4 linked regions of the Astyanax mexicanus genome follow. The protein of the gene in region 1 interacts with the protein of each later gene in a biochemical or structural test. Links are inferred from orthologs where the notes say so. Each region holds a gene or a part of one and is shown in the gene's direction. Other genes may lie near its edges.

Region 1 (7,773 bases):
CAATTTAGACTAATTATGGTATGAGAATTTCATTTCTGATATTGTTATGACCATATTGGGTGATTTTGACATTAAAAGGTCATGATCAAGGTCGTTTTTCTATTCTGAAGGCCTTCCCCACAACTTGGCCATTATAAGGAATCAAAACCAGATACAATAAGTCTAATAAATCTGACATTTAATATCCATTGCTATATATATATATTTAACACTCATGAAGAGAAGAAATATGACAATTTTAAACATCCCCTTTGAACTTATATTTTAACAGAGTGTTAGTACAATGATATAAAACAATTGGGTGCAAATAAAACTATGTAGCAATAAAAGTGATACAAATTACATCAAACCAAATGAACTAAAAGTGCACCATGCAGTGGGATTTCTCTCAAAGTGTACTGTATGCGTGCGGGCATGTTAGTGGGATGGGGTTTTTACAGAATGATTTTTCTATTTTTCCATGGCAGAATATGATGCATGAAACTCCAGCAGAACGACATCCACATCGACTATTGTCACACTTGCCTGCACACTTACATATTGAGAGCAGACTTGGTGGTAAAGGCTTAAGACATTTTGATGGCAGGAGTGTGCCAAAGTGCTCCTTCCATCCATGGTCCGTTGGCTCTAGTCTTGCTTTGGTGTCCTTGGCTACTGTAAGCATGTTGCATGCCGTATGAACCAGAGAAGCCCCTTGTTGGATGTTTTCTCTGATCACACTACTTGTGAGAGGGAGAGCATCAATTCCAGTACTTCCATGTGTGTAGATTTCTACAAATGTCTTAGCTTTCATCAAATATCTTATCTGTTGTTGTTGATCTGTCCCCAGCCCAGACATGCACCAAGTGCTTCTCAGCCAAAGCTGCATCTTGCTCTGTCAAGGCCTGCATCTTGCTCTGCCTCTCCAAAGTTGGCTCAGTACTGGACTGGGTCAAAAGCTGTAGAAACAAGTTTAGTCTCCACCTTGCTCATACAGTCATCTCCAGTCAGGATATGAGCTTTAATCACTGTCTTTGAAAGTGATGCTCCAAGTCGAGAGACTGCTTAGAGAAAGTGTCTCATGTCCCGATCGTGATATGGTTTGCAGTCGAACCAGTGGCAATGCTACTGTATTTGTGAGCTCTGTTGTCTTTCATTATGAGGTGTTGCCAGCAAAGGCAGCTGGTGGGGACGAGATCCCAGACCTATTGAACAGGATTGAAGAAGCTGATGCCAGGTTGCTGGTGCATGTTGAGTGGGCTATTCTTGTGAAGCAGTGCAAAAGAGTTATCATAGTCTCCAATGACACAGACACCTTTGCATTGCTTCTCCGCTACAGCACATACTTCCCAGAACTTGGGATGAAGGAGATCTGGTGGCAGTATGGCAATGGTGAGAGGCTGCGAATGCTTCCACTCCATCAAGCAGTCTCTCGTTTCGGAGCATAACTGTCAAAGACAGTGATTAAAGCTCATATCCTGACTGGAGATGACTGTATGAGCAAGGTGGAGACTAAACATGCTTCTACAGCTTTTGACCCAGTACTGAGCCAACTTTGGAGAGGCAGAGCAAGATGCAGGCCTTGACAGAGCATGATGCAGCTTTGGCTGAGAAGCACTTGGTGCATGTCTGGGCTGGGGACAGATCAACAACAACAACAGATAAGATATTTGATAAAAGCTAAGACATTTGTAGAAATCTACACACATGGAAGTACTGGAATTGATGCTCTCACAAGTAGTGTGATCAGAGGCCACATCCAACGAGGGGCTTCTCTGGTTCATATGGCATGCAACTTGCTTACAGCCAAGGACACCAAAGCAAGACTAGAGCCAACAGACCATGAATGGAAGGAGCACTTTGGCACACTCCCGCCATCAAAATGTCTGAAGCCTTTACCACCAAGTCTGCTCTCAGTCTGTAAGTGTGCAGGCAAGTGTGACAATAGTCGATGTGGCTGTCGTTCTGCTGGAGTTTCATGCATCATATTCTGCCATGGAAAAATAGAAAAATCATTCTGTAAAAAACCCATCCCACTAATATGCATGCACGCATTCAGTACACTTAAGAATAGAAAAACGACCTTGATCATGACCTTTTAATGTCAAAATCACCCAATATGGTCATAACAATATCAGAAATAAGTTTCTCATACCATAATTAGTCTAAATTGAGGTATTATTTGTGTATATACATTCAGAAACAAAAAAGTTGGATTTTCATCATAGCCGATGGCAGCCATATTTGATTTGACCATTGCGGAATTCGTGGCACTATGGCGGACGAGCACCTCAGGGATTTTTCATGTCTAGGGACCCACTAACTCAGTTCAAGTGAGAAATTCCCCCAACACCAAATTGCGAACAGGTCTATAGGCCAGGTACAGGATTACTGGTCCTCACATTACGGCCCGTTGCTTGGTCATTTTCCGGCATGCAATAAATATGTTTGCAAACACTGAAAGTTGGTAATATCTAGACCTCGACCAATGTGATGATACTTAATTGAAACTATTATCGGCCAATACCGATATAATGCCAATATCACTGAGCATCCTTAATCTAGATGCCTGCTATTAGAATGTATTTCTACTATGCTATTAAGTTGTCTTGGCTTGTAAACAAAAGTGAAAATGACTCAACTTTATCTTAAAGTTATATTTGATTTTTTAACCTGCTAGGACGTGGTCTTTGTTGCCATTTTCTTTTAAAGAAATGTAATGTAATTGGCCATATCTCTACATAATACAATGAGGCATACAAGTCATAAAAAATATGTATGTGTGCAAAAATGTGTAAAGAAGGTTATGTGACTGTTTTAAAATGTTTTCTTTTTGAATAGCTTTAATACAAGTGTTTTTTTTATCAAACATTTGATATAACAACAGAGACTCCTAAGCTAATAATACATGCTATATAGAATTAACAGTTTTGTATTTTATCTGTCATTTAAACAAAAAAAACTAGAACATATAAGCAGAGTCATCACACTTTACTACTAGTTCTGTCTAAATCTGTTACAACAGATATGTCAGTCTGTTTGTAGCAGTTCACAAAGCTGTGGTTGGCTCCCTAATTCAAAATCCAGGTCCACCTTAAAAAATACATTAATACCGAACTGCCACCTGCACACGCCCCCGAGCAGAACAGCGGCAGCATTTAAGGTGGACCGCAGAATTTGACCATATAGCGCTGGGGAGGCTTTTCCCACAACTCGCCTTTCGCCCTCCGCCATCTTTCCTCCCTCAGTGCGTAGCTGTTGTTTCAGCGGCCCACCCTCCCTCTTCTACACGAATCTCAGCGCACACAAATAACAGTGAAAAACACCCGAACGAACCCAAAACACACTCCAAACACACACACATCCTGCAGACCCGTCCGCTTTAACAGGACCGAGCAGCTCCGCTTCACGCTTTTAACGGGTTTAAAGGGTTTAACTGAGCCACACGGAAGACACGAGAGAACCGGCTGCTTCTCAAAACTTCAGTTTTCAGAGCAGGAAATAGAAACAATTTAAAAGACAGCTGAACGTCTGTATTTCTTTGTAAAAAAAAATGAGTAAAAAATGCTTGTGTCTACCTTCTAGCACCTCAAATATCGCCTGCGACATGTTGAAGTCTTCAGCAGCCGGCGGAGCAGCGCTCTCTGTCTCTCTGAGGCGGAGGAGTGGGCGGGGCCTGTCAGCTGATTAATATTACACATTCTATTCATTTATATTTTAATATGATATACAGTAGCAGTCAAACATGTGGACACACCTCTTCTCGGGCAATGTGTTTTCTTTCTTTTTATGATTTTTATATTGTAAATGTAATACTGAAGACATCAAAAAGGAACACGTGGTATTATTTTAATAAGTGTTTTATACTATAAACTTAGTTCTTCTAAATAACACATTTAGATTTGAAGGAAGATCTGCACACTCTTGGTATTTTAAGTCTCCTGGAATAGTTTTCTTGAAGGAGTTCCTGGAGGTGCTGAACAATAGTTGCTTATATAATCATTTATAAATATTATAAATATGTATTCATTTAATATATATTTTATTTCTACATAATTGTCTTCTTTTTTAAATTTGCTTAAATTAAAAACTGTAGCAATATTAGACAAAGCCAAACAAAAGAAATACAAACATCAGTATCCACTAAAAATACTTCTTAGGCTATGCTTGGTAGTTGCAATTTGGGACTTTAAATAAAGACTTTGGTTGAAAGAGTATGAAAAATACCCATAAAAGAGAAAAAAAAGTTTTTTACATTTACTTTGACTTTTCTTTTTATTGCAGACAGTATGAACCCAAATGTTTTATATTTTCACCCATCAAATTCATTCCAACCCATAATGGACAGCATTAGTAGTAGCTAGTCTACCCTCAATATCTTTAGTCTTTATAATAGTTAATTATACTAATCATTCGTATACATGTGTGTCATATACATAGTAAATGTGAAATACTGTAATTATTAGAATATTATTATTTTATTACAGTATTACAATGCAATATAGTAATATAGGCAAATATGTAACAGACTGCTATGGGTTATAAGTATTTCAGAGCTCTTAATATTCTTAATATTCTCTGGTCAGCTGAGACAAATGTATTAGCCTGCTTCTAAAATATATGATACCTAACAAAGCCAGCTAGATACGTAGCTAGTTATTGGGCAAATTCTAATGAAAATGTTCCACATATAATAATTGTAATTATAAAATAAAGTCTTTGATAAATAAATATATTTTTTAAACTTGCTCATCGATTAAATTCCCATTGTTCTCTCCAGAAGTGCCTGTTTCTGAGTTACAGGCGCGGCTGCCAATCAGAGAGCAGAGGAACCGTGACGTGAAAATTGTTCTCGTCCAATAGTGTCGCCGCGATTCGGCACGTGCCAGTTTTCGCGGCAAAAAAGATTTGGCGCGTAAATAAGCTAGAGCCGATCAGCTGAGACAAAAACAACAATAACAAAAAGGGAGAAACAGCGGAGCAGATCGGTTCGGGGAGCGGACGGAGGCTCAGCGGCGGACCTGTGGGCACAAAGCGAGAGACTATCGGGGGTTTATTGTGGATGTTTTCGCCTGGAGAGCGCGGCCGACAGGACAGTTGGATTATTTAGCTAGTTTTTGGACGGAGGAGCTTCCTGGACGGGTTTGTTTTGTTTCTGGCAGAAAGAGAAACCAAGGGCCGCAGATATTTTAAACTTTTACACTGAAAAGCCTCGCCTTGGTCACCTATTAACTCATAATAGTAAAAAAACTCTTTAAAATGTTTAAATGTGTAGTTGCTTTAAAAAAAAGTTAATCTATAGTTTTTAGATGCATTTCTATCAGCCATCCAGCTTAATATAAAGCTGAACTTGACTGTTGCTGTAACAATATCGTATAGATCAGCTAACGTTCATATTAACTTAACTAGGTTAGTAGCTACAATAGGCACTAGTAACTTTGTATATTCATATTTTCTGACTTTCCCTATGTTTCCTATGCTATATTTATTATTGTCCACTATTACACTTTAATAGCTTCTAAATTAGCTTATAACCTAGCTTGTATAGTAACCTTCATATTTACATTTCCCACTTTATCACTTTAATAGCTTCTTAACTATAACTGTAGCTAATATAGCTAACTATAGTAATTTGTATTCGTATATATTTCCCCATTTCCCCACTTATAGCTTCTATATTTGCTAGCCAGTTAGCTTTGGGAGCAGAGTTGCAGCTGCTGGCCTTTCAGCTGTCTAGTCATAGGGGACCAAAACAAAGGGCTGCTAGCACTCAACACTGACAAATGCAGATTTTCTGACTTTTAGAGCTGTAATCCTACTTTAAAGTGTCAAAAACAGCCGTAATGATATTTCCTTACATTTGTAATCATATTAGGCAACTTTCACTCCTCTGCTTTTTGTCAAACTTTGTACTTTGGCTGTAAGAGCCTTGACCTAGTTATCTAAGTTAGCTAGTTAGCGTAGCTGTTTTGTTAGTTTAATGAATGAAAGCCTCTCATATTAATGCATTAACTTGCGTTAAATCCGCATATTAAACTTAAATATCTCTATAAGAAATATATACATATGTCAGCCTTAATATATGTAATTATAACAAGCCCTTATAAACATGGCTCCTCCAGCAGGACGGTATTCTGGCTGCCCTCAGTGTAATTTCACTCACAGCACACAGTTCAGGGCAGTCTCCTGAACTCTTTTCCACTGAAGGCCTGAATCAGAGGGTGTTTTCGGAAACACAGCCTCATTTAAAACGCGCACTCAGACAGACAGTCCAACATGTCAAAGACCTTCATATCAGGCCACACGTCCGAGGACCTCCTGGCCGACTTCGAGTCGCTGCTGAACAGCGGGAGCATCGACCTGAGCGCCGAGCACCAGATAGTGATCATCTCCACCCCCGGCGGTGTGGAACTTCACCCGGCTGCCACCCACTCCGCGGGCGGGGACATCCTGCTGTTCGCCACGCCGCAGACCACCCCGGCCCCCCTGGAAGAGATCCGCAGACCCGCGCTGGGACGACCACCGGTACTGACCATAAGCTAATCAATATCTGCAGAATTACTGATACTGACTGAAGTAGGTGTAACCGACAAGCAGCAGCAGCAGCAGTAGTAATGATATGGTATTAAAACAGTCTACTAGTCTTACAACTGCTAGAAATGCATCTGCCATCTGCAAATTACAACCACTGTGGTTACCAGTACTGCAACTGCTACTTATTTTACTGCCAAACAAGTACAACTGCTAATCCTACTGCTGCACCAGTACTACAACCACTGCTGCTATTACTAGTTCTTATACTACCAAACAAGTACAACTGCTAATCCTACTGCTGCACCAGTACTACAACCACTGCTGCTATTACTAGTTCTTATACTACCAAACAAGTACAACTGCTAATTCTACTGCTGAACTGGTACTAAACCTACTATTACCAGTATTAGTATATAATAACACAGTATTAGTATATAATAACACTTATTAGAGTTGATTTAACACTAACAGTGTTGATTTAACACTGCCAAATTTCCTGTGTACTAACTCTACTTCTGAACTTGTACTACAACAACTAACTCTACTGCTGAACTAGTACTACAACAACTAAATCTACTGCTGTACTAGTACAACAACTTCTAACTCTACTGCTGAACTAGTACTACAACTACTAACTCTACTGCTGAACTAGTACTACAACTACTAACTCTACTGCTGAACTAGTACTACAACTTCTAACTCTACTGCTGAACCAGTACTACAACTTCTAACTCTACTGCTGAACTAGTACTACAACTTCTAACTCTACTGCTGAACCAGTACTACAACTTCTAACTCTACTGCTGAACCAGTACTACAACTTCTAACTCTACTGCTGAACTAGTACTACAACTACTAACTCTACTGCTGAACTAGTACTACAACTTCGAACTCTACTGCTGAACTAGTACTACAACTACTAACTCTACTGCTGAACTAGTACTACAACTACTAACTCTACTGCTGAACTAGTACTACAACTTCTAACTCTACTGCTGAATTAGTACATTACTGTTCTTACTAGTTCATCTACTGCTAAACAAGTACAACTGTTAATTCTACTGCTTAACCAGTACCACAACTACTAACTTTACTGCTGAACCAGTACTAAAGTCAAGTCAAGTAGTTTTATTGTAAATACTGCATATGTAAAAGACATACAGAGAATTGGAATTACTTTCCTCTCCTTCTCAAAAGTTACAGAAAATAAGATTATGAATATAAAATAGTGAGATACACTATATGTACATTACAACAAGG
Region 2 (7,085 bases), on another chromosome or scaffold:
CTCAGCTGTACATCACTTCCCTACACTCATATAGAGATAACAGGAGGAAGAGAAGAATCAGAGCTTTGTTCTGAGGCTGAGAAACATATACAGATCCACAGAGGCTGTAGAGACTCAAAACTACAAAACACCGCTCGCAGAGGTGATGGGTTTTAGAAAACTCCGCCTATTATCAGCAGGAGACGCTTGGCGTCAGCAGCAGCCCAACGCAACAACAACTGGCCAGCGTAGAGCAGAGCGGCAGCACAGCGGAATGCCGCGCGGCATACCGCGTTCAGTGTGCAAGCACCTTTACACAACCGCTCAGCACAGATCACAGGGCGTTTAAAGGCCACACCTATTTCCAGGGGTGGAGTTTAGATAATGGATGGATAAATTATTTATAAAACATTATAACATTTTTGTTATGAGTGATAGTGTGAGAGTTTGAGAGTCACATCGATTTAAAATAACCCAGATTTGATTAAATTACATTTCTTCTTCAATAAAATCTTTTCTCTATCACTTCATATGAGTCCGTTCTTATGGACTTGCTCTGGAGCGCCCTCTGGTGGGCTGACCAAAACACATTATTAAGTGGGTATTCTCCTCTCTAGAGGTTCTCTGGTGTAGATCACTGAAACTCACAACATCCGGGTTACATATTCCAGATTTTACATTCCACCCGTATTCCGTAAAATCCCGCCTTCGAGGGTAGTTAGAAGACCCACTGAAGAATCTGTTCTGGGTTTGTTACACCGTCAGAGGGCGCTCCAGAGTGAAAACAAAATGAATATGATTATAGGAAGCAATAGAGGAAAATCAGTGTTTATAAAGGTATAATCATTTTCATACTGAAAAGTCTACTATATTTCTTTTTTTCACTTTCTAAAATTTAAGTTACTACTTTTAATTTGACGTTTTATCCGTTTAGCTTTATTCACCCCCATTCATTTTGGACTCATGATATACTATAGAAGGACTTTAAACCGCTAGAAGGAGCACGCGAGTAATTCCAAATTATTGGGGTTCAATGAAGCTAATCAGCTAAACTAATTAAAAATAATTAGCAAGTAACTAATAAATAATTCAAAATATTCATTTAATTTTAGAAAGTATTAAGTATTTCCTGGTAGTAAGTTTTACATTTCAGACCTACATTTCTACAGTAAAAGGATTTTAGGCTGTAAAGAGCATTACTGCTACTGGGAGCTGACAGCATATCATAATTAGAAGGTTTTTAATTGGAGTTTATTTTTTTTAATTGTGTCTTCAGCACTGAAACATTTGGTATTGTTCTGTTTTGAGGAAATTAGTAAACTTTCTTAGTATAAAAATATAAAACATTTATAAACTATGATTTTGCTCTTTTGCTTCATATGAACCCATTCTTTTTGTACTTGCTCTGGAGCGCCCTCTGGTGGCCCGATACATTATTAAGTGGGTATTCTCCTCACTAGAGGTTCTCCAGTGTAGATCACTGAAATGTGTACTACATTTCTCAATATATAACCATATTAAATGTTTCAGCACTGCAGACTCATTTTAAAAGGTATTAAACTCCATTTATAAACCATTTAAACGTGCACTGGCATTCACTTTAGGCTCAGCTCACTAAATAGTTAGTTTACAGTAATGGTAGTGAATCTATTGTCTAAAACATGTTTATTGTAAAACAAAATGGGCAAGTTAATGTAACGTTCTTTGCTTTTTTGTTGTTGCAAAATACATCATTCCACTTTCCAAAATTTAAGTCACTATTTTTTAATTTCACGTTTTAGCCGTTTGGCTATATTCACCCCCCTTTATTTTGGACTCGTGATATAGTATAGAATGACTTTAAACCGCTAGAGGGAGCCCGCGAGTGAGTCCAAAATAATGGAATTGAATGGAGCTAATCGGCTAAAACTAATTAAACATAGTTAATAAGTAACTAATAACTAATTCAGAATATTACTTTAATTTTAGAAAGTCGAATAAAGTATTCCCTGATAGTAAAACTGACCTACATTTCTACAGTAAAAGAATTTTAGGCAGTAAAGAGCATTACTGCTGCTGGGAGCTGACTGCACAGCATAATTTTTTATTATGTCTTCAACACTGAAACATTTGGTATTGTTCTGTTTTGAGGAAATTAGTAAACCTTTCTGTACAAAAAGTATCAATAAAAAAATAAAATATGATTGAGTTTACATTAAGCAATAGAGCACATTCTTGTTGGACACGCTCTGGAGCGCTCTCTGGTGGCCCAACAAGCCCAAAACTCAGGACTTTTAAAATCCACCCGTATTCAGTAAAACTTTGTAAAAAAAATTAGAAGCTTTTTATCTGGACTTTAAAGTTTTTTAAGTATGTCTTCAGCACTAAAACGTTTGGTATTGTTCTGTGGTGATAAAATGAGTAAACGTTGAAGAATAAAAAATGTCAAACATTTATAAACTATAAATTACTTTTCTCTATCACATTATATGAGCCCGTTCTTTTTGGACTCGCTCTGGAGCGCCCTCTGGTGGCCCAACAGGCCCAGATAACATAATTAAGTGGGTATTCTCCTCACTAAAGGATCTCTGGTGTAGATCACTGAAACTCGCAACATCAGATAGGACCCACTGATCTCTTCTGGGGTTGTTATACCGCCAGAGGGCGCTCCAGAGAGAGAAGAAAATGAATATGAGGGTTCATATGAGGCAATTAAGCAAAATCAGTGTTTTTTTAAATGTATAATAATTTTCATACTGAAACGTGTACTACTTTTCTCAATATATAACAATATTAAATGTTTCAGCACTGCAGACATCATTTTAAACGTTCTTAAACTCCAGTTGTAAACCATTTGAAATTTGCACTGACATTCGCTTCAGGCTCAGCTCACTAACTAGCCATTTAGTTCTATTCACCCCCATTCATTTTGAACTCGTGATAGAATGACTTCAAACCGCTAGTGAATGAGTCCAAAATGAATGGGGTTAAATGCTCTTTAAAAATAGTTAGTAACTAACAACTTATTTAGAATATTTCTTTATTTTAGAAAGTCCAATAAGAGTATTTCCTATTAAGAAAACTGACCTACTTTTTTTTTTACAGTAAAAGAGTTTAAGCAGTAAAGAGCATTACTGCTGATGGGAGGTGACTTCACAGCATAATTAGAAGGTTTTTATCTGGAGTTTAAAGTTTTTTAATTATGTCTTTAGCACTGAAACATTTGGTTTTGTTTTGTTTCGAAGAAATCAGCCAACTTTTCAGTATAAAAATATCAAACATTTATAAACTATGATTTTGCTTTATTGCTTCATATGAACCCATTCTTTTTGGACTCGCCCTGGAGCGCCCTCTGGTGGGGTTCTCTGGTGTAGAATACCGAATTCACAGCATCCGGGTTACTCACAACCCACATTCTGGTTTTCCGAGGACATTTAAAAAAGAGAAAACCCACTCTTCTGGGTTTGTTACACCGCCAGAGGGTGCTCCAGAGTAAGAACAAAATGAATATGAGGGCTCATAGCAATCGAGCAAAATCAGTGTTTATGAAAGTATAATAATTTTCATATTCAAACGTGTAATACTTTTAATATAGAACTATGTTAAATGTTTTAGCACTGCCGACATATTTTTTGCTGCTGGGAGCTGACTGTACAGCATAATTAGAAGGTTTATGACTGGAGTTTTACAGTTTTTTTTTTAATAATGTCTTTAGAAATTAGTAGACTTTTCAGTTTTTGGAATCACTCTGGAGCGCCCTCTGGTGGCCGACGAGCCCAGAACACATTATTAAAATGGTATTCTCCTCTCTAGAGGTTCTCTGGTGTAGATCACTGAATTCACAACATCCGGGTTACTTAAAGCCACATTCCGGGCAGCGTACACAAGTGACATCATACCGCTAACGATGCTTTTTTTTAAAGCCCACCTGTATTCGGGGAAAACACGCCCTTGAGCGCTCTGATTGGCCGATATCAGATATTTATAAACAGCACGCCAGCCCACACAGCGAAAGCCCCGCGTCTGCTGCGAAGGGATTGGATTAAATTCAAGAATGACGGATTCATCAACCAATCGCAACGCAGGAGGGGCGTGGCCTTTTCTGAATAGAGGTAGGAAAAGGAAAAAAACTGCACCGAGCACCGTGCTGTCTCACACAAGTAGTTTGGTATGACCAAGCAAACCGAACCGGACCGCGATCCAGTTCAGAGCTGCAGCCCCGCGGACCGAGAGCAGACCCGGAGACACTGAGGACCCGAGCGGCGCGGCGGGATGGACAGCGATGAGGATAACGTGGAGGAGGTGGTGGAAGGTACGACACGCGGGTCCTGCGCGTGCACGAGAGCGGAGCTGCGCGCTCTGTAGTTCTGTACTCTTTTTATAGACGGACTCTGAGAGCTGTCCGCGCGCGGGGTATGTTTAGTGTGTTAGTGTGTGTGTGGAGTCTTTTAGTGTGTGTTATTTGTGCGCGCGTCCTGTGGGGCCTGTCTTCATCGAAGCGCTTTAACTCACCCTGGCCACGTCCCAAACCGCGCAGTACCTTTCTAACTCAGTGATATAGTAATCACAGTGTACTGTGTAGTGGACTGAGGGCTGCGTCCTCATAAGAGAAGATGTAGAAATATGAAGACCAGGGCTTTGTCCAAACAAGCACTAATTAATTCACGTGGAGTGGTCGTGTAGTGTCATGACGCACTTTTTAGTATAGGAGTAAGTCAAATCACTTACTCCTATACTAAAAAGTGCGTCATGACACAGCCTAACGGATGGTTCTCTGATTGACTGAGCAGTTCTAATTTATTTGAATTTACACATATTTTAGACCAGTCTTACTTAGTTAGCTATTTGTTGGACATCAGAAAGCCAAAATATGTAGCTGAATTAGGTTCACCACACAAAAATATCTCATTATAATTTGTTTTACTGCATTTGTGAAATATATGATTTTCTGTCATTCTTATCCATTTAGATTACTAAAATAAAATTCCTGCCTTTAATAAATATAACAAAAAACTCAAAAAACAAAGTAAAATGTATTATAATATTAACCCTCTAAAGCATAGTATTTGCATTTGTTGAGAATAAATATCAAAACACTGCTCAGCATAATGCTTTGTGATATAATTGCATAATGCTGCCCCGAAGCAACAAATAAAAAAGCACAACTGATTTAGGAGGTAATATAACACAAAACAGCCAAAGTATGCTTTAAAACAGGCTTATCAAATATGGGTATTTAAATATTAAAACATTTAGATTTTTCGTCTAATATTCCCATGCTCTAATACTGGATATTGTTTAGGCTTTTTCTCACATTGGATTTGTCCTGTTTCTCAACCTTACTGATTTTTTATTTTTATTTCTTTTTCTCACCCTCTCAATATAAATATTAAAATAAACATTTAGAGGACAGTGTACAAAAGTGGATAGGCTAAATGGGTAAAACTAATGATAAAACAGCAGCAGCTATACAAAATATTGGGGGTCTGGTTTCCTCCCTCCATCCATAAACATATGCACACATAGGTGAATTGGTGAATGCTTGTGGGTGCTGAAAAATAGAGAATAAAATAAGAAATTGTTTATTGAATTAGCTTGATGTTGTACTTTACCCATACTTTCACAATTGTGAATACTCATCCTACTCCAGTTACTGCTCTCTGGTTAACATTATTGACCAGATCACTACTGAACTGAACTGTGAAACTGCAAAAAGTAAATGTGAGTTATATTAATGTATTTATCTATTTATGTATGTATGCATAGTTTTTTTAATACCAGTATGTTTTTACTTTCTGGCAGAAATAGGCAGAATCACATGATTATGATAATAATTTATTCCCACCTAGACAAACTCATTTAAAACATCAATAGCCTGTGGAGATTTAGCTCTCATTATGCTGTCTTGTTTTGTCTTGTAATATAGATTTATAGAATTTATAATATGAAGCAGACCCTGAGTGTAAGTGGATGACAGGGTGATCGGCGCACTGCCTCAGTCATTTTTGGCTGATGAGGGTGACATCAGTGTTGAAGATTCAAATTTTAAATTCACATTTCAAGAATGGATGTGTGTGTGTGTATATGTTGTACATGTGGACTGACCATGTTCAATGTTTATGTCTCTAAACAACTCCACAGGACCACTGGATGATGATGACCTCCCCCACGGCTTCTGCACTGTCACCTACTCCTCCAGTGATCGCTTTGAGGGCCACTTCGTCCACGGTGAAAAGAACGGGAAGGGCAAATTCTTCTTTTTTGACGGCAGGTCTGACACAAAGCACTAATAAGCAACAAAACACACACACACACAAACATGCACACACTGAGTATTTCCAGCCAGTGTGTTATTATTAACAATTATCCAAGACAGGGCTGCTGGGTTCTCAGACATGATTATGATTCATATTTAGATGAGTCAGTGTCTCATCTACACACACACACATACGCTCACACATGCGCGCGCACACACACACAGTCCTGCAGGCTGTCCATAGTTATCATGGATGTAAATGGGTAGGTGTGAGTCACAGGTGATGTGGCTGATCTGCCACTCGTAGCGAATAGTGTTACTGACCCGCTCTTATTTTTAGACTCTGATTAATGATCAATATACTGTATGTATTAGTGAAGGTTAATTCTATAATATTGTATAATGTCAAATCTGAATATTTATGTGCTGTACATAGAGGTTGGCTTCACCTTAATGTGGATAACTATGTCTGAATGGAGCAAATTATAAAGAGCCTATATTATGCAAGATTTAATTCTGTAATTCTTAATTATGCAAGATGTAAATGCTGTTAACTTAAACAAAAATGGAGTTTAAGCTACACAAACAGTTTCAAATTAAATTGTTTCAAATGATGTACATAGTATATTTGTCTACACCTGTGTTTCTTACTCCTTATTCTGGAGGCTGTTCTGCACATTTTTGATTGAACACAGGGCTTGTTACTTACATGATTAGTTGGACCAGGTGTGTTTGGAAAAAGGAAAGGAAGGCTGTGTCCCAACTGTGTACTACTCTCTAATACTGTCAGGTGTATAATATATAATAATCTTAAGTGTGTGTTTGACAGTTTATATATATCAAATATTGTTTTACATTTTGTATGTTTGTA
Region 3 (7,569 bases), on another chromosome or scaffold:
AATAAAAATTAGCCCTATTCCCTGAAATGAGTTTAACGACCCTGATCTGATTTTGAACTATAAAATACGAGGCATCGCATCAGCACTAACTTCACAACCACTAAGTCAGGGATTTTAGTGGATGTACCATGTCAAATTGAGCTTTAATCTAAGACTGTTTGAATAGGATAAAATGTGTTGTAAAGAACATTAAATCTGAGCCAAGATAATTTGAGCAAAAGACAGCACCACCTAGTTCTCACTGACACCATTACTCAGCCATGGTCCTTTTCAATGAGCTTATCATACATTACTGTGCCAGGCAGAGTTGTACAGTACAAGCCAGCGATTACTGAGCCTTGGAAACACGTAGTTATTGCAGATCTGGATTACAGAGACAAAAGGCAACCCTGTTTTTGGGCTGAACAGACAGGAAGGGAGTTTACAGAAATGGTGATTTTACGTATTACGGACCTTTCACTGCCTGTAACCCGCACATTCCCAGAAGTGCCAAAATGGCTTGGAGAGGGGAATAATTATATACAAAGAGCTCCACTCTAACCTATTCTAACAGAGTTCTAAAGAAACCATCCAATGAAGGTGGAATTTGAACACACATGAAGAGAGCACAATAGATTAGAAGTCTATCACCTTAAACACTCAGGCACCTTGTCTTGGTTTGTCTCTAAAATGTCAGTTCCATTTTTTGGCCTGAAATGTTGTGAAATGCTTCTTTATTCACTTGTTCTTCATGTAAAGATGATCAACATTGTTGCAAAGGCATTTTAAACCCACACAAGCAGAGCACAATGAATTAGCAGTCCATTGCCTTATCCACACGGCCACCTCGTCTTCTTTTTCCATTTAATATACAGTTCCTGTTACACGCATTGGAGCAACAAATAAACGAGTTTAAACATCCGATGCAATAGCAAATATAAAGAAGCACACATTTCTAATGGTGAAACTTTATCTTTATCACACTCTAAATGTGGTGAAGACAGGCAGCGGCGTAGTAGCGGCATCACTCTTAGTTATGAAAGTGACATCAATCTCCTCCAATGGGGAGTGGACAGGCTCCAATGGGGCGTGGACAGGCCCAACAGAGGCATCGGTCTCCTCCAATGGGGTGTGGATGTGTCCAGCAGAGGCTTGACACATCCTCACTCTCCTCCAATGGGGGCCTGACATCTGACTGGGGCCTGGGGCCACTGGTTCCAAATTCCTGAAGTGATTAATAAGAGTACATCCATCTTTTAAAGGTTTGTTTGTACATCAAAAATTGAGTGCTTTTTAGTTTTCTAATATTTTTTTACCGTCTGGTTTTGTTGACATAATGTTACCTGCAATGTGAGATCAAGATCCTGTGGTATGGTCACATCATCATCATCATCATCATCATGGTCACCAATACCAATCTGCTGGCTAAGAAGATCTCCCCGATTGGACTGAGCCATTTCATTTCAAAGGGATACCCCACATGCACATTGGTGCCCAAATAACATCCCCTGCCTTAAATAATTGTGTGGGTTTGCAGGTGCCACAGATCTGACTGGGCTGTATGGGTGGTGCCAATTCTCCCTGACATCCTGTCTCAGCTGCCCATTTGCTTCATAAAGGATGTGTGCAATCCACTCTTGGTCACCTGGCTTGATGACCCGGAGGAGCGGCTTTGACAAGAACCTGGCCTGGCTTATTTCTGGATAGTGCTCAGGGACTGGGAGCAGCTGGAGCGGGAGCAGAAGCAGGGGAAGGAGGAAGTGGCCTGCCACTCTGAGTGGCTGGTACCATCTCAAATGCTGTGGAAGGGAGGAAGGGGCAGAAACAGAAGCATCTCCACTTCAAAGGTGATTGTTAAAGTGGGCTAAAGTTGTGGAGGGAAGGGCTGAAGGGGCTGGAGGAGAAATGTCTGGGAGGTCTGTGCAAGATTTCAACACATGACACTTTTCAAGGTGCTCTGACAAAGCCACAACACCCAAGGCCTATGTGCCACAGTGCTCAATAAATTATCTAACCTAGTGACGAGCTAGCTAACACTAATGTTACTGGAGATAGAATGAAAGCTAGCAACGAGCTAACTAACCTTAGTGACGAGCGAACGCTAGCAAACTACACACTAATGTTACTGGAGTTAGAACGAAAGCTAGCAACAAGCTAACTAACCTTTGCTATGAGCTTTTCCAGGTTGTTCTTGACCGTACAAACTCTATTTTTTATTACCATTTAATAAAAAAATAAATAAATAAACATGCTGTTTTTACTAATAATATACTGTTAATTACTGTAATATTTAATACTATATTAAAACTACATTTTTATAAACACACAATGTTTTAAATATAGACCGTTTCAATGAGGAAAACAATAACAAAGCTAATGCGCATGTCTGTTCCTTCGACGCTTCCGGTGGCGTTATTTTCAAGTATACAGCTGTCAAAATGAGAGCGCATATTTCCCGAAAACAGAGCAAACATATGGTCAGAAATTAGTAAAAAGTGATCAAACCTCTTTTCCTGATCCTTTTGATAAGGATTTAAGAGGGAAGTTTTTTCCTCTGATTTAAAACGCGTGCCAGAGGTGATCTACCCAGATGTGATCAATACCTTGTTGAAACGGAGGCAGTGAAAGCGCACCGCAGTTTGGGCGCATATAATTACTTTCTCAGTGGAAAAGTTGGGAATATTTGTTCATATAGTAGAGAAGCATCACTATAGTGTATGGTGAGGTTGGAGCAAGTCAAACGCTGTCCAACATGTACTCTGCATGGTTTATAGATAAGAGGCAGGGAGAAGTTGTGAGTTGACACTGTAACTGCATGGCAGGTCAGCAGTGTGAAAAACGAAAGCACGCGTGTTTACTATGGAGGACCAAAAATGACATAAGTATAAATAAAAAAATGTTGAAATAAATAAATGAATAAATAAATAAATAAATGTTGACATAAAAAATACACATATAAATTAATAAATAAATATATAAATAAGAAATGTATTTATTAATTAATTTAATTACCTATACACTTATTTGTGCATGTGTTTATTTATTTATATATTTGTTTATTCATTTATATGTGCATTTATTTATATATTTATTCATTTCAACATTAATTTTTTTATTCATTTATTTATTTATATATTTATACATTTATATGTGTATTTATTTATACTTATGTAATTTTTGGTCCTCCATAGTTTACATAGGTTTAAAGAACAATTTGTACTACTATTGTAGTAACCACGGGTGCAGTTGAACAAATTGTCCAGTAGGTGGAGCCACAGTGCTCTCAGATGAATTGCCCTTCAAATGGGAGCAGAAAGATCAAAGAATCTTGCTGGTTTAGAAGAAAGAAATTAGAAGAAACTTGTGTGAGTTCAGCACAAATAAAGGAAAACAAACATAGATGTCTCTTCCTCATCTCATCAAGTCATCACAGTTATGCAGTATGAATTAGAATAGTTTTTTTCCCCTGTATCTCTGCGCACATAATTACGACATATGAAATATGAGGACATTTAAGGAATAGGACATATATAAAAACAATAGAATAGAACAATATAAGCAATAAAAATAAGCAGTAATCTATAATAATAAAACACAAGTAACCCATAAGAGCCCAGACCAATTTCTGAATATTGATACTAATTCATTGAATTTAATAAATTTATTGAGCAGCTCATTCATGTTTTTCTTGTGTGTGGGTTAAAATGTTAAAATCATGATGTAACATAAATCCAGTCACAAACAGGTCAGAACTAGTTATATGGAGCAAAAAACATTTTCTTAACGCGTTTGAACGGTTAAATGGTTGTAATAGAGCTGTAGAAGCAAAAAAAAAAACATCTCCAGCACTATCCCATCACACAGCTTTAAAATCTCTCTCTCTCTCTCTCTATATATATATATATATATATATATATATAGACATATATATATATATATAGACATAAAGAAAGAGAGAGAGAGAGAGAGAAAGAGAGAGAGCTCTGGAAAAAATAAGATACCACTTAAGACTGACGAGTTTCTTTGACTTTACCAAATTAAAAAAACGATGGAAAATAATCAAGAGTAATGGATGATCACAAGCCATCAAACTAATTTTTGCACCAGGAGGAACATAAAGTTATCCAAAGGCAGTGTGTTAGACTGGTGGAGGAGAACATGCCAAGATGCATGAAAACTGTGATTAAAAACCAGGGTTATTCCACTAAATATTGATTTCTGATCTCTTAAAACTGTATGATTATGAACTTGTTTTCTTTGCATTATTTGAGGTCTGAAAACTCTGCATTTCTTAGTTTTTTCAGCTATTTCACATTTTCTGCAAATAAATGCTCTAAATGACAATATTTTTATTTTGAATTTGGGAGAACTGTTGTCTGTAGTTTATAGAATAAAACAACAATGTTAATTTTACTCAAACATATACCTATCAATAGCAAAATCAGAGAAACTTTTTTTTAAGTTTAGGGAATTTTCTGACTTCAGATACTCCGTCTGAAGGCAGCATGTGTTGTGTTACGTATCCGCAGGAAGAGCCGTCAAGGTCCAGAACCACAACCAATGAAATCACTCCATACTTACAGGCACGCGCTTCTCCCCTTCTCAGCTTCAGCGCGTCCAATCAGAATCGCTTCTGTTGGGCAGTCTGCGCATGCTCATACGTCTTGTCTGTTCATGTGGCTGGTCGCTGGGTTTGTGTGGAGGTCACAGTGATCAGGAGCCCGGGTGAGTTACCTGCAGTGCTGGAGCCCATGTGAGAACAGTAGTTATATGTTAACTGATGATGTGCTGGTTGTGTGTATAGGAGTTAGGGTGAAGTAGCTAGCTTGGTTTTTGTGCCTCGTTTCAGTAGAAATGTGTGATTTACTAGTGCTGGCGAACTGCAGCAGCGGTGCGGTTGCAAAACGTTGCACCAGCAATAGATGCTAACTAGTTAGCTTAGCTAACGTTAGGTTAACTAAGCTAGCTAACTGAGTGTGTTCTTGGTTTAGTATTAGCTTGTTATAATCTTGAATTAATAGGTAACTTAGTCGTATTCATTTAACTAGGTAGTGAAGTAGTCACTAAATATTTCCAGACGTTTCTAGGTTAACTAGAATAGTTTATAGCTAGCTAATAGCTAGCATAGCATAGTCCATAATCAAGGCCTCTGAACAGTGCTCACATTATGCACATTTGTAGTTAGTTAGCTAACTAACTGTTGGCTCTGTTTGTTATACAGAATTAAACTAACTGAACACCAATAAGCTAGTTACCCAGTATGCTTAGCTCTGTCCGCTAGTTATATAATATTGATGATTAGCTCTTGATACATAAGTGAAGAGTAGATTTCCTGGCTGTTCTAAGAAGGAATGTTCCAGATAACCTCACACTTTGTCCTTTCTAAACCTAATAAGCTAACCCACATGCTGTTTTATAGTTTTTTCCACAGAATTTCACATTAATATTGTGTAAAAATAATAAATAATCCTTTTTCCCCCAGAGCCGTCACTCCGCTGTCATGGCTAAGTTATTTGAGTCTATTGGAAAGTTGGGATTGGCCTTGGCCGTTGGAGGAGGCGTGGTGAACTCTGCCCTCTTTAATGGTAAGTGGATTTCAGTGTGTTTTAGTGAAGTGTTGTAGTTGTTCACGTCTGTATCCATTAACACGATTAACAGTCTTTATTTCAGCAGCACGGCTGTGTTCAGTTTACTTTGTCTGAGATTAAAAGTCATGTGTTTTAACAGATTATCTGTCTAAAGCTGTATGTTCATATTACACATGGGAAAAGAATATTGTTGCTGTTGAATGGAGAACAATTATATCCAATTTTTTTTTTTTTTTTTTTAAAATAGCCCATAAAACCCCATTTAAAAATGCATATGCTTTCAAAGTAAAGAAGAGTTAAATATAAAAATATAAGACATTAAATATTAAAACATAATAACACAATAAATAATAAAAAACATGTATTTATTGTTTATAAGCTGTGCACAACCTGCCCAGAACGTGTCTGCGACCCACTTTTGGGTCCAAACCCACCAGCTGAGAATCGCTGCCTTACACTCACTTAATTTCCTGATGAACGGGTGGGTTTTTATGTCAGGGATTTTTATTGAGTCTCTATTAATCTGCAATGTAGTAAATAATGAAAAAAAGAATGTGTCCAAACGTTTGACTGGTACTGTGTCTTTGAAACAGAACAGGGACACCATGAGCAATTCAAAATGTTTGCATCTCTAGGTCAAGCATGGCTTCATCAAATGCTAATTTTCCCTAAAATTGTCCACCCTGCTGTGCAGCTTGCCATAACAAGGTGGACACATTCGTGACAGGAAATACAGTGTGCAAATTAAAAATATTATTTCTGATTAGGCATCTTGTCATAAGTTTTTTTTTTTTTTTTTTTTTTTTTAATACCTATGAAATGCCTAATACTATGATCCTAATACTAAAAGATTATGCCAAACTTTGCCCCTAATTGCTGTAAACTTTTTTATATTCTAAACTATATAATTACTAATAAAAAAATGATTTTGACTTAATCTAATCTATATCTGTGTGTGTCCTGCAGTTGACGCTGGTCACAGGGCAGTCATCTTTGACCGGTTTAGAGGAGTACAGGATGCCGTGGTTGGGGAGGGAACACATTTTCTGATTCCCTGGGTTCAGAAACCCATCATTTTTGACTGCAGGTCCCGCCCACGCAATGTGCCTGTCGTGACTGGAAGCAAAGGTAACTACTGTCAGAAAAAAAAATATATATATATCATTTTCATGATCTTGACCATGACCTTGACTCTGAAGGGGTGTAGTAATGGCCTTGTTATATTTTCAGTGCTTAGTGGCCATGGCAATGTTTTCTTATCATTTTAATTCTTAGCAGTGGGTCTTGCTGTCTACAGTATGTTAACCATATATCAGTGTCATGAAAAATGTGGAAATTTGTCCAAGTTGTTTCTTGGACAACGTATCGTCCAGAAACTTTTTTTTCAATTATTATTATAATTTTTTTTATAAATAATGTAGTAAAATTTTCATTCCAAATAAATAATTATCTCTCTACAATGGAATCTATAGAGTTTGCAGTGACTGACTAGTTACCCTAAGGCTAATGCTCTATTAGTATTATAGTTGTCTTTCCTTTCTTTTTCCTTCAGATCTACAGAATGTGAACATTACACTGAGGATTCTCTTCAGACCGGTAGCAAATCAACTGCCTAGGATTTTCACCAGTATTGGTGAAGACTATGATGAAAGAGTGCTCCCCTCCATCACCACTGAAGTCCTGAAAGCTGTTGTGGTGGGTAGCTATAAATCATTCTGTGTGTCTCAGTATAAGAGGTCCTAATAGTATGTGACCATGTGGCCGTGTCTCCATGTTTCCCCTCAGGCCAGGTTTGATGCAGGAGAGCTGATCACTCAGAGAGAGCTGGTATCCAGGCAGGTCAGTGAAGATCTGACTGAGAGAGCGTCCACATTCGGCCTTATCCTGGATGACGTTTCCCTGGTAATCCTTGATACTTTATATCTGTCTCACTTCCTTCATTCATTGCCTGTGGAGTGTGACTACAATGATGATGATGATTATGATGATGATTATGATGATC
Region 4 (7,834 bases), on another chromosome or scaffold:
CATTGATGATGGTGGAGTCTGACCGAGGCACAAAGCCTTCTTCAGCACATCCCAAAGATTCTTAATGAGGTTAAGGTCTGGACTCTGTGGTGAACAATCCATGTGTGAAAATTATAATCTCATGCTCCCTGAACCACTCTTTCACAATTCCAGCCCCATGAATCCTGGCACTGTCATCTTGGAATATGTCCGTGTTATAGAATAAAAGCATAAAAAATCCATTGATGGAATGACCTGGTCTATATTCAGTATATTCAGGTAGTCAGCTGACCTCATTCTTACAGCACATACTGCTGCTAAACCTAGACCTGACCAACTGCAGCATCCCTCATACATGTCATGTCTTCCGCTTAGGCGTCATGTCATGTCTTTACCCCTTTTTCCCGTTGTCCTCCCATATTAGTATTTTCCCATAAATTTCCTGTATTATATTACAATAAAAAAAAAAAACTCCTGTGCTTCTCCAAACTGAAATGTCACTAATCTCACAAGAACTGCCACCCAGTGTGAAAAGTGTTTTTGGCCAGACAGTGTATTTAATCAACATTTACATTAACAATTTTGAACAAAATGTCTCTGCCGTAAAACCAGCATTATATTCACTTTATACAAAGTTCTATTGCTATTTGGTTTGTAGTCTAATTGCCTTATTTTCTGTTTTTTTTTCTTGTTCAGTTAGACAAATTGTAGACTGTTTTAGGCTTGAACAAGTGCAGTGAAGTCCAGTTCAGTGTCTGAGGTGGATATGTGAAGGGCTGGGTATGGAAAGGATGGAATAAGGCTGAGTGTGGCATGGTAATTTGTAAAAACTTTACCAAGTTTTTCCTGTGCTGTCTCTATTTTTTGTGCATGCTCTGTACAAGTTTAATTTGAAAAAAAAAATGTCTACTACACTTACATTACTAATATTGTTTTGGGTGCTAGTCAATAATTTAGAAGCTAGGTAGGTTCATAGTTTATAGTTACTATGAACTACTAGCCAATCACCTTGCGAGGGGCGGAGCTTGCACGAATACGGGTGGGGAAAGCACGGAGCGCGGTGGAATGTAGGTGTTATATATGCCGCGCGCTTCACCGAGCCCCACCCACATGCTGGAACTGCGCTGCAGAGCTGCGCTGTGATTGGCTGGCGGTGTGGATCAAACGCTCATCACTAAAACAATGTCCGTGAACGAGTGACCGCTCTGACTTACCGGCATGTTTAAGCGCAGGGTCCTCCTCTTTCGGGTACTTTTCTTCCCCCCGTCTTTAGTCTTAGAGTCCATAGCAGTGCTCCCCATGTTAAAATCCTATAGAGAGATATTACCTTCCAGCAGTGAGAGAAATAAACTCAACAAAACTCAGAATTAACGCAGGGTACACCTCACACAGCGACAAAAAACAGCGGTGAAATCTAATTAATCTAATTCTGTCGCTGCAGAACTTTATCGCTGATAATCAATTCATCTCAAAGCTCCTCCAGTGAAAAAAAACAACAAAACAAAGCAGAAAAAAGCATCCTGAACATAAAAACGCAGAACTGCTCTGTCTACACGAGGCTACAGCACCGCGTGCTTTATCTACAGAATGAATAAAACACTACTCCACCGCTGGAGCAGCTTCACACTGTAACCTGCTGCTGCAGCTCCATGCCGGTCAGAAACACTGAGGCGCGCCCCCGTCTCTGGCACAGGAGCGCGCAAAGGGCGGATGGGCTTTAAAGGACGCACGCGCGTCACATGGGGGGGCTATGAGGTGTGTAAGCACGTCGATGAACACGAGTGTGAATCTAGAGACAGTAAACTATAACCAGAGTTCAGGTTCAGGTCTCCCGTTAGTCAGTGTTATCATGCAGCTTAGCCTAGATGCTGCTGTGTATCAAATTAAGTCATGAGCTGAGTATAAATTTAGCTAAAATATTATTGATTGTAAGATGAGTATGAAAACATATATACAGTACCAGTCAAAAGTTTGAACACACCTTTAAATTAAGTGTTTTTTAATTATTCATAACATTGTTTTCTTTGTAGATTAATACTAAAGTTATCCAAACTATGAAGAAAAAACAAATAAAATAATTTAGTAAACAATAAACAGAAAATGTGTTAAACAAACCAGAATATGTTTTATACTTTAAATACTTCAAAGTAGGCACCTCTTGCTTAGATAACAGATTTGCACATCTTTTCAGTCAGATTTCTCAGGTAGTCACATGGAATGGCTTTAAGTTGTGCCTTGTCAAAAGTTAATTACTCAAATTTCTTCCCCTCTTAATATGTTTGAAAGCATTAGTTGTGTTGTGAGGAGTTAGAGTTAGGGAAATGCCCTATTTGAATCAAAAGTCGAAGGTTTTGGGTTAGCATGGAATGTACGAGGCATTCTACAACTGGTAGCTGGTTGAAGAGCTCGAAGTCACACTTTTCTACTTCATCTTTGCTAGATATGTATAAGTCTTTTTTATGACTCTTGGAACACAAACCAAGTATTTTGACGTATTACCTTCCATGGTATGTACACAATTTTGTCAGAATTCAGTGGGGGAGGGTGTAATGGAGTTAAACAGACATAACTAAAAGGAATTATATAAAATATTATGTTCTTTGAAATGATTTCTTACAAAATTATCATATTATACATTATTCTACTGTTCCCTGCACTAACAATGCAACTGCATGTTTTTTTGTTTGTTTTATGTTTTGTTTTCATTTATCTTCAAAGGAGCTTTCATATGATGCTGGAGGTAAGCATAGCAGATAAGCTCTGTGAATAAGTGGTATTTTACAAGGATATATGTTATTTTGAGACAAGTTAATGGAAAAATTAGTTTTCATATCAGTTCTAGTCACCTCTATGTATTTTTAGCGGATATTGGTGAATATTTTGTCCCATATAGAATTATTTCTGCCCAGGTTCAGTTTAAAGCATCAGGCTATGACAGTTTTGGTGCCAAATGCTACATGTTGGAGAATAAGCCTGTTTCTTACACTTAGAGGTTCATGTGCAGTTGCAGAAGCATAATAAGGACCAAATGGATTATTTGTGTGATATGTTGTGGTCGTGTTTATCATAAACTAAGTGTATTTTCTGTCATGTTATAAAAAACGTATGAACATTTTTTAATCACGTATAATAAATGCTAATATTAAGCTATGAGTTTTATTTATTTTTTGCAGAAATTTGTGTGTATCAAAACAGAGCTGTTTTACAGACTGTTCATGTAAATGTTTATTAGTAGCCCCAGAGGAGCTTGCATATAATGCAGGAGAGAACCATATGCAGTTGCAGAAGCATGATAATCACCAAAGGGATTATCTGTGTTTATGTGCAAGCTCAAGAAAGGCCAGAGAAAAAAACAAGACATCCTGCCTCCACCAGTCCTTTCTATCTAGTTTCATCCTGGGTGTACATGTTCTACATAGCCACACTGAGGTCAAAACTGCCCTACTAATTCTACAGGCAAGCAGTCACATAAATGCCTAAATTATCAAACCGTTTTTATTCAACTGCACCCCTCACATCAAAGAAAACTGTGTAAAATGTATAATAAGTCCTTTAAAGTGAAGTTTAATATTCCTCTATATGTGTGTTAATGTGTTCAGAGTAAACGCTGATAAATTAATTGTTACATAGTATTTGAATGAAATTGAAACAGCTATGCTATAAGTAATATTGTTATTGATGCTGCTAATCAGCTTTATACTGTTACTGTATTAAACTGCAGGCTTTTCTAATGTTTTTTGTGTGATTCATGTGATAACCAGGATATGTTCATTTAGCTTAAATGCTGCATGGTTTGGGTATACTGAACATTTCAGAAAACTCTGTACAGCGACACAACATTTACCACCTTCAACACCTGTGTAAATATTGTAACAGCTACAATATTATAAAAAAAGACTCTATGTCTAGTGTCTAGTGGTTTAATGGTAATAACTAACTAACTAACTGTAAAATAGTTGATGAAATTAAATGATTTAATGTTGATTAATACATTACTGTAGAAAATATATGTAAATCTACAGCAGATTTAACATTTTTTAATAAAATAAACCGTTCTGTAGTCTTGCTTTATCGAAAAAGTACATTTTGGTGAATAAGCGCATTCATCTTCTTTATCACTGCTTTCTAAGGTATAGTTGGCGAGCTGTGAATTTGAACATCTGTAGTAAAATTATCCTAAATATAGCGACATATTATTATATTAATTTATATTCATTCAACATTTAAATTTTAGGAGATTTCAATATTATTGTACATCTAATGTACGTTTAGCTAGCTAAACTAGCCAGCTAAAATAGCTAAATATATTAGTGGGTATTAACATTAGTTAAGTTAGCTAGTTGTCAAACTAGTAGTTAAATTGAGGTATGCTGGTAAAAGGCTGTGGAAATTCCGTTTCTGATAGTATTCCGTTTTCCAGGTTTTTATCTGCCTAAACCGGTCCTATTTAACATCAAATGTTTTGTGGATTTCTTTTTTTTTTCAAGTGACATTTTGTGTCATTCTGTTTTTAGAGATTATTTGTTCAAATATTCACTAATAAATTCTAGATTTTAAACAATGGGCCTGACCGTACCATTATACTGAGAATTGGTGTCCATGTTGTTTTTGACCACAAAGTGTATTTTGGCATAATTGGGTATCTATATCTTTTGTAAAGCTGGAATATAAAATCATATGATTAGGGTTGTTTGTGAGTCCCTGTTGATGCATCACGGGGGTCGCAAACTCACAATTATTACATTGAATGTCAGAAGAAACGTTCAAGAAGAGTCTACAAACTTCAGAACATCAGATATAACCTCCAATGTTTGTAATTTACCTCTGAAACAGCGGCTGTGTGTTTCAGCTCCGCGTCGTCCGGGGGCGGTAAATCCAGAGCAGTGGATCTGCTGAAAACAACAACAGCTCCGAGTAGAAGAACTGCCGGACGTTTTGTAAGTTGACTGGATGGCGCGAAGGCTCCTCCGTCAGGCTGTAGAGAGATAACGAAGCGTTTAGAGTTGGGGATTCGTCTCTATTCGCCTGTTTTATCCGTTAATATCTGTGTGCTGTGGGGATGAGTAGTTCAGCGGTAACGGCTCTGCTGACTGGAGGACTACAGGAGCTCGAGCTCTCTCTGAGGAAACATCATTAGATAATGATATTTCAGCAAAACTGAGGCGTTTAGCAGCTGGTATCCGTCTGTTTGCTGGCTGAACCTAAACTACAATGTTCAGTTTCAGATTACTTAGATAATAAGCTCGTTAGCTAGTTAACTAGCTATCTATTTAGCTAGTTAGTGGATCTGACTGCTGATCCAGTGAAAGCTGGTGACCGTTGCTAAGCTAGCTTTAGCTAGTAACCTAATTTAAGGTAAGCTAAGTTTACTTTGCTAACTATGTTAACAGTTTAGACCTGACTGACACTAATGAACCTAAGTGTTAACTTTAATTAACACGTATTTCTTATGACATTTTGGACATAAATGTGAAATGCAAAAAAGCTCTGTAGAATCTGTACTCTTCATGCTAGCCTGCTTACTGCTAGCTAACCTATAAACAATTGATACTAAATAGCTGAATATGTAACTTAGCTAGGTGAGCTAACTAGGTTAACTAGCTAACGCTAACTATCTGTTGTGTATTTAATATATTTTTATAGTAACCTAGCAAGACTTCTTGCCTAATAACAGCTAATTAGTTAGTTTGGTTAGCTAGTTAACTAAGTGAAAAAAGTTTAATACTGCATGATTTATAGCTGCTGGACCTGTTGCGATGTGACAGTGCTCCATAACATAGGCCACAGTTTAAAACCTAGGTGTAGTCACCTAGAATGGCTTGTCAACAATTTCAGACATTCAGTAGAAACAAAACAAAATAAATCTGAAACCTTTGTATATTTTGTAAACATCAGTAACTTACTAAGAAACGAAAACTAATTTTAAAAGGTTTTCAAGACAGAAAACCCCTATTGTCATGGATTTTTATTATTTACAATTTTATTCTGGCATGATATCTTGTTTACAATATTATAAGGTCAAATATTATAAGGCACACCTCTACTCCAAATGTTAATGTTTCTACCTTGATATTTTAGGGATCCTGTAATGAATAGACCAGTATAAATGGTGGAATAAAATATTTTACTTTATGTACGATAAAAGTTAGTTACTTTATTTTGAAGCAACAAGTTATCTTTTGTATGGAATTGAGATACATTAGTCAAGTTATCAGTGAGATCTTGTTGTTCTGTGAGATCTTTTTGAAATGTAGTAATTCAGTATTTTCTTTTTTTTTTAAACAATAGAAGCCAGAATGTCCAAAAGGAGCCAGGATGCTTTTATGGTAAAGTTTGTTGAACACAATGGGCAGAAACGTGAGCTTGGTCAAAAAGCTTATGAGGTACAGTAAATATTCATCATAATGGAAACCAAATGTTTCTGACAAACTATTAGTCCTCCACTAATAACATGGTTATTGAATACCCTATAACTGCTGGCATTATATCATTAAAATATATATTTTTCTTTTTTGTATGTTAAGGCGATAGTGGAATTGCAGTCAGAGAAATATGTGCAGACCATTGGTGAAGAAGCAGCCCTGAAGTTGGATCACAATGACAAATCCTTATATGTTTTCAGCGACTTTACCAGCAGTGCATTTGAGCACTGTCGAAAGGTATGTTCAAAAATATTACCCCCCAAACGATAGCTTATGGATACAAATGATATGGAATGTCTATTAGATGGAGCAGCTAACATATACACTAAAGTTCAAACATTTTTTTTTTTTACTAAGCAATAAAGCTCTGTTGCAGCTCTATGAATGCAGTACTAAGATTTAATTCTTTGTTATTAACTCTTATCTTTTTCCTCACGTTTGAAAGATCCTTTATGTAACTATGATGTATTTTGGAGGGACACAATTTAGTTGTGTTTAAAATACAATACAATATACTGCAAATGTACAAAACGATATTGTGATATTTTTCATCACTGCATACAAATAAAAACAATGTTACATTTGTAATCTGTTATGTATATTTATGAATAAAATTAGTTACCTAGATTTATGTTCTGAATTTGTCTTTCATTCAAAATTATTTTGTCTTCCACAAGTAGTGCTATTTCTACATGGTCACTAGCATCATATATAACGCTACTGGCATGACACTGCTGGTAGTCTGTCTTTATACCTGTTCTGTGTTTTTCCCTGTGTGCACTACAGTTGGGATGCAGGATAGTCAGTCCTCTGGTAGTGCTTTTTTGTCTGCAGCAGCAGAGGTGTGTGCCCAAGGCAGAGCAACCTGTCTACAACATGGCCATGGCTGATGTGACAGTGACCTGTACCAGCCTGGACAAAGAAGTACGGGTAAGCAATGAACCAAATTCACAAGCTGGGTCAAATATGTCTTTAACATAAGTAGTAATTAGAATCTAACGAAATGTTTACACCACATTTGTGTCTGTCCTGTAGACAGACGTCATGGACTTGGTTCAGCTCATGGGAGGAAGGGTTTACAGAGACCTTAATGTATCAGTCACTCACCTGGTGGCAGGTGAAGTGGGCAGTAAGAAATATCTTGTGGCAGCCAACCTGGGGAAACCTGTCTTACTGCCCACCTGGGTGAAGGCATGCTGGGAAAAGTCTCAAGACAGGTAGGACTCTATTCGTCTTCATGCTTTTATGACCTGTATAAACTCAAAAACTCACCTCAAAAGGCGGTAAACATTTTGGTTCTCTTGTTTTTCTTCTTTTCCTCAGTATGTTTCGGTATTCAGACCTGCGTGTAGAGGACTACCTTTGTCCTGTCTTTAAAGGCTGCACAGTATGTGTAACTGGTCTGTCCACAGTGGAGCGCAAAGAGGTGCAGC

The links.
Region 2: of the proteins of e2f1 (region 1) and setd7, one has a biochemical effect on the other in vitro, tested with the Homo sapiens proteins (3 studies listed by BioGRID). The link is inferred for Astyanax mexicanus from reciprocal best matches to the Homo sapiens genes E2F1 and SETD7.
Region 3: the proteins of e2f1 (region 1) and phb form a complex in vitro, tested with the Homo sapiens proteins (2 studies listed by BioGRID). The link is inferred for Astyanax mexicanus from reciprocal best matches to the Homo sapiens genes E2F1 and PHB1.
Region 4: the proteins of e2f1 (region 1) and topbp1 form a complex in vitro, tested with the Homo sapiens proteins (4 studies listed by BioGRID and IntAct). The link is inferred for Astyanax mexicanus from reciprocal best matches to the Homo sapiens genes E2F1 and TOPBP1.

What each region holds. Positions count from the first base shown.
Region 1 is NC_064420.1:14,793,055-14,800,827, reverse strand, and holds the start of e2f1 (transcription factor E2F1), read left to right. Parts: upstream 1-4,751; 5' UTR 4,752-6,255; coding exon 6,256-6,504; intron 6,505-7,773. Other genes in the region: znf341 (zinc finger protein 341), read right to left, coding at 3,558-3,588. UniProt on the Homo sapiens protein: Transcription activator that binds DNA cooperatively with DP proteins through the E2 recognition site, 5'-TTTC[CG]CGC-3' found in the promoter region of a number of genes whose products are involved in cell cycle regulation or in DNA replication.
Region 2 is NC_064417.1:27,895,828-27,902,912, forward strand, and holds the start of setd7 (histone-lysine N-methyltransferase SETD7), read left to right. Parts: upstream 1-4,077; 5' UTR 4,078-4,230; coding exon 4,231-4,270; intron 4,271-6,099; coding exon 6,100-6,229; intron 6,230-7,085. UniProt on the Homo sapiens protein: Histone methyltransferase that specifically monomethylates 'Lys-4' of histone H3. H3 'Lys-4' methylation represents a specific tag for epigenetic transcriptional activation.
Region 3 is NC_064426.1:27,732,230-27,739,798, reverse strand, and holds the start of phb (prohibitin), read left to right. Parts: upstream 1-4,556; 5' UTR 4,557-4,704; exon of another isoform or gene 4,705-4,732; intron 4,733-5,461; 5' UTR 5,462-5,479; coding exon 5,480-5,564; intron 5,565-6,533; coding exon 6,534-6,695; intron 6,696-7,119; coding exon 7,120-7,262; intron 7,263-7,352; coding exon 7,353-7,469; intron 7,470-7,569.
Region 4 is NC_064408.1:103,078,920-103,086,753, forward strand, and holds the start of topbp1 (DNA topoisomerase 2-binding protein 1), read left to right. Parts: upstream 1-4,813; 5' UTR 4,814-4,916; exon of another isoform or gene 4,917-5,334; intron 5,335-6,267; 5' UTR 6,268-6,275; coding exon 6,276-6,362; intron 6,363-6,503; coding exon 6,504-6,638; intron 6,639-7,187; coding exon 7,188-7,331; intron 7,332-7,436; coding exon 7,437-7,618; intron 7,619-7,724; coding exon 7,725-7,834. Other genes in the region: prkag2a (5'-AMP-activated protein kinase subunit gamma-2a), read right to left, coding at 1,194-1,280. UniProt on the Homo sapiens protein: Scaffold protein that acts as a key protein-protein adapter in DNA replication and DNA repair. Composed of multiple BRCT domains, which specifically recognize and bind phosphorylated proteins, bringing proteins together into functional combinations.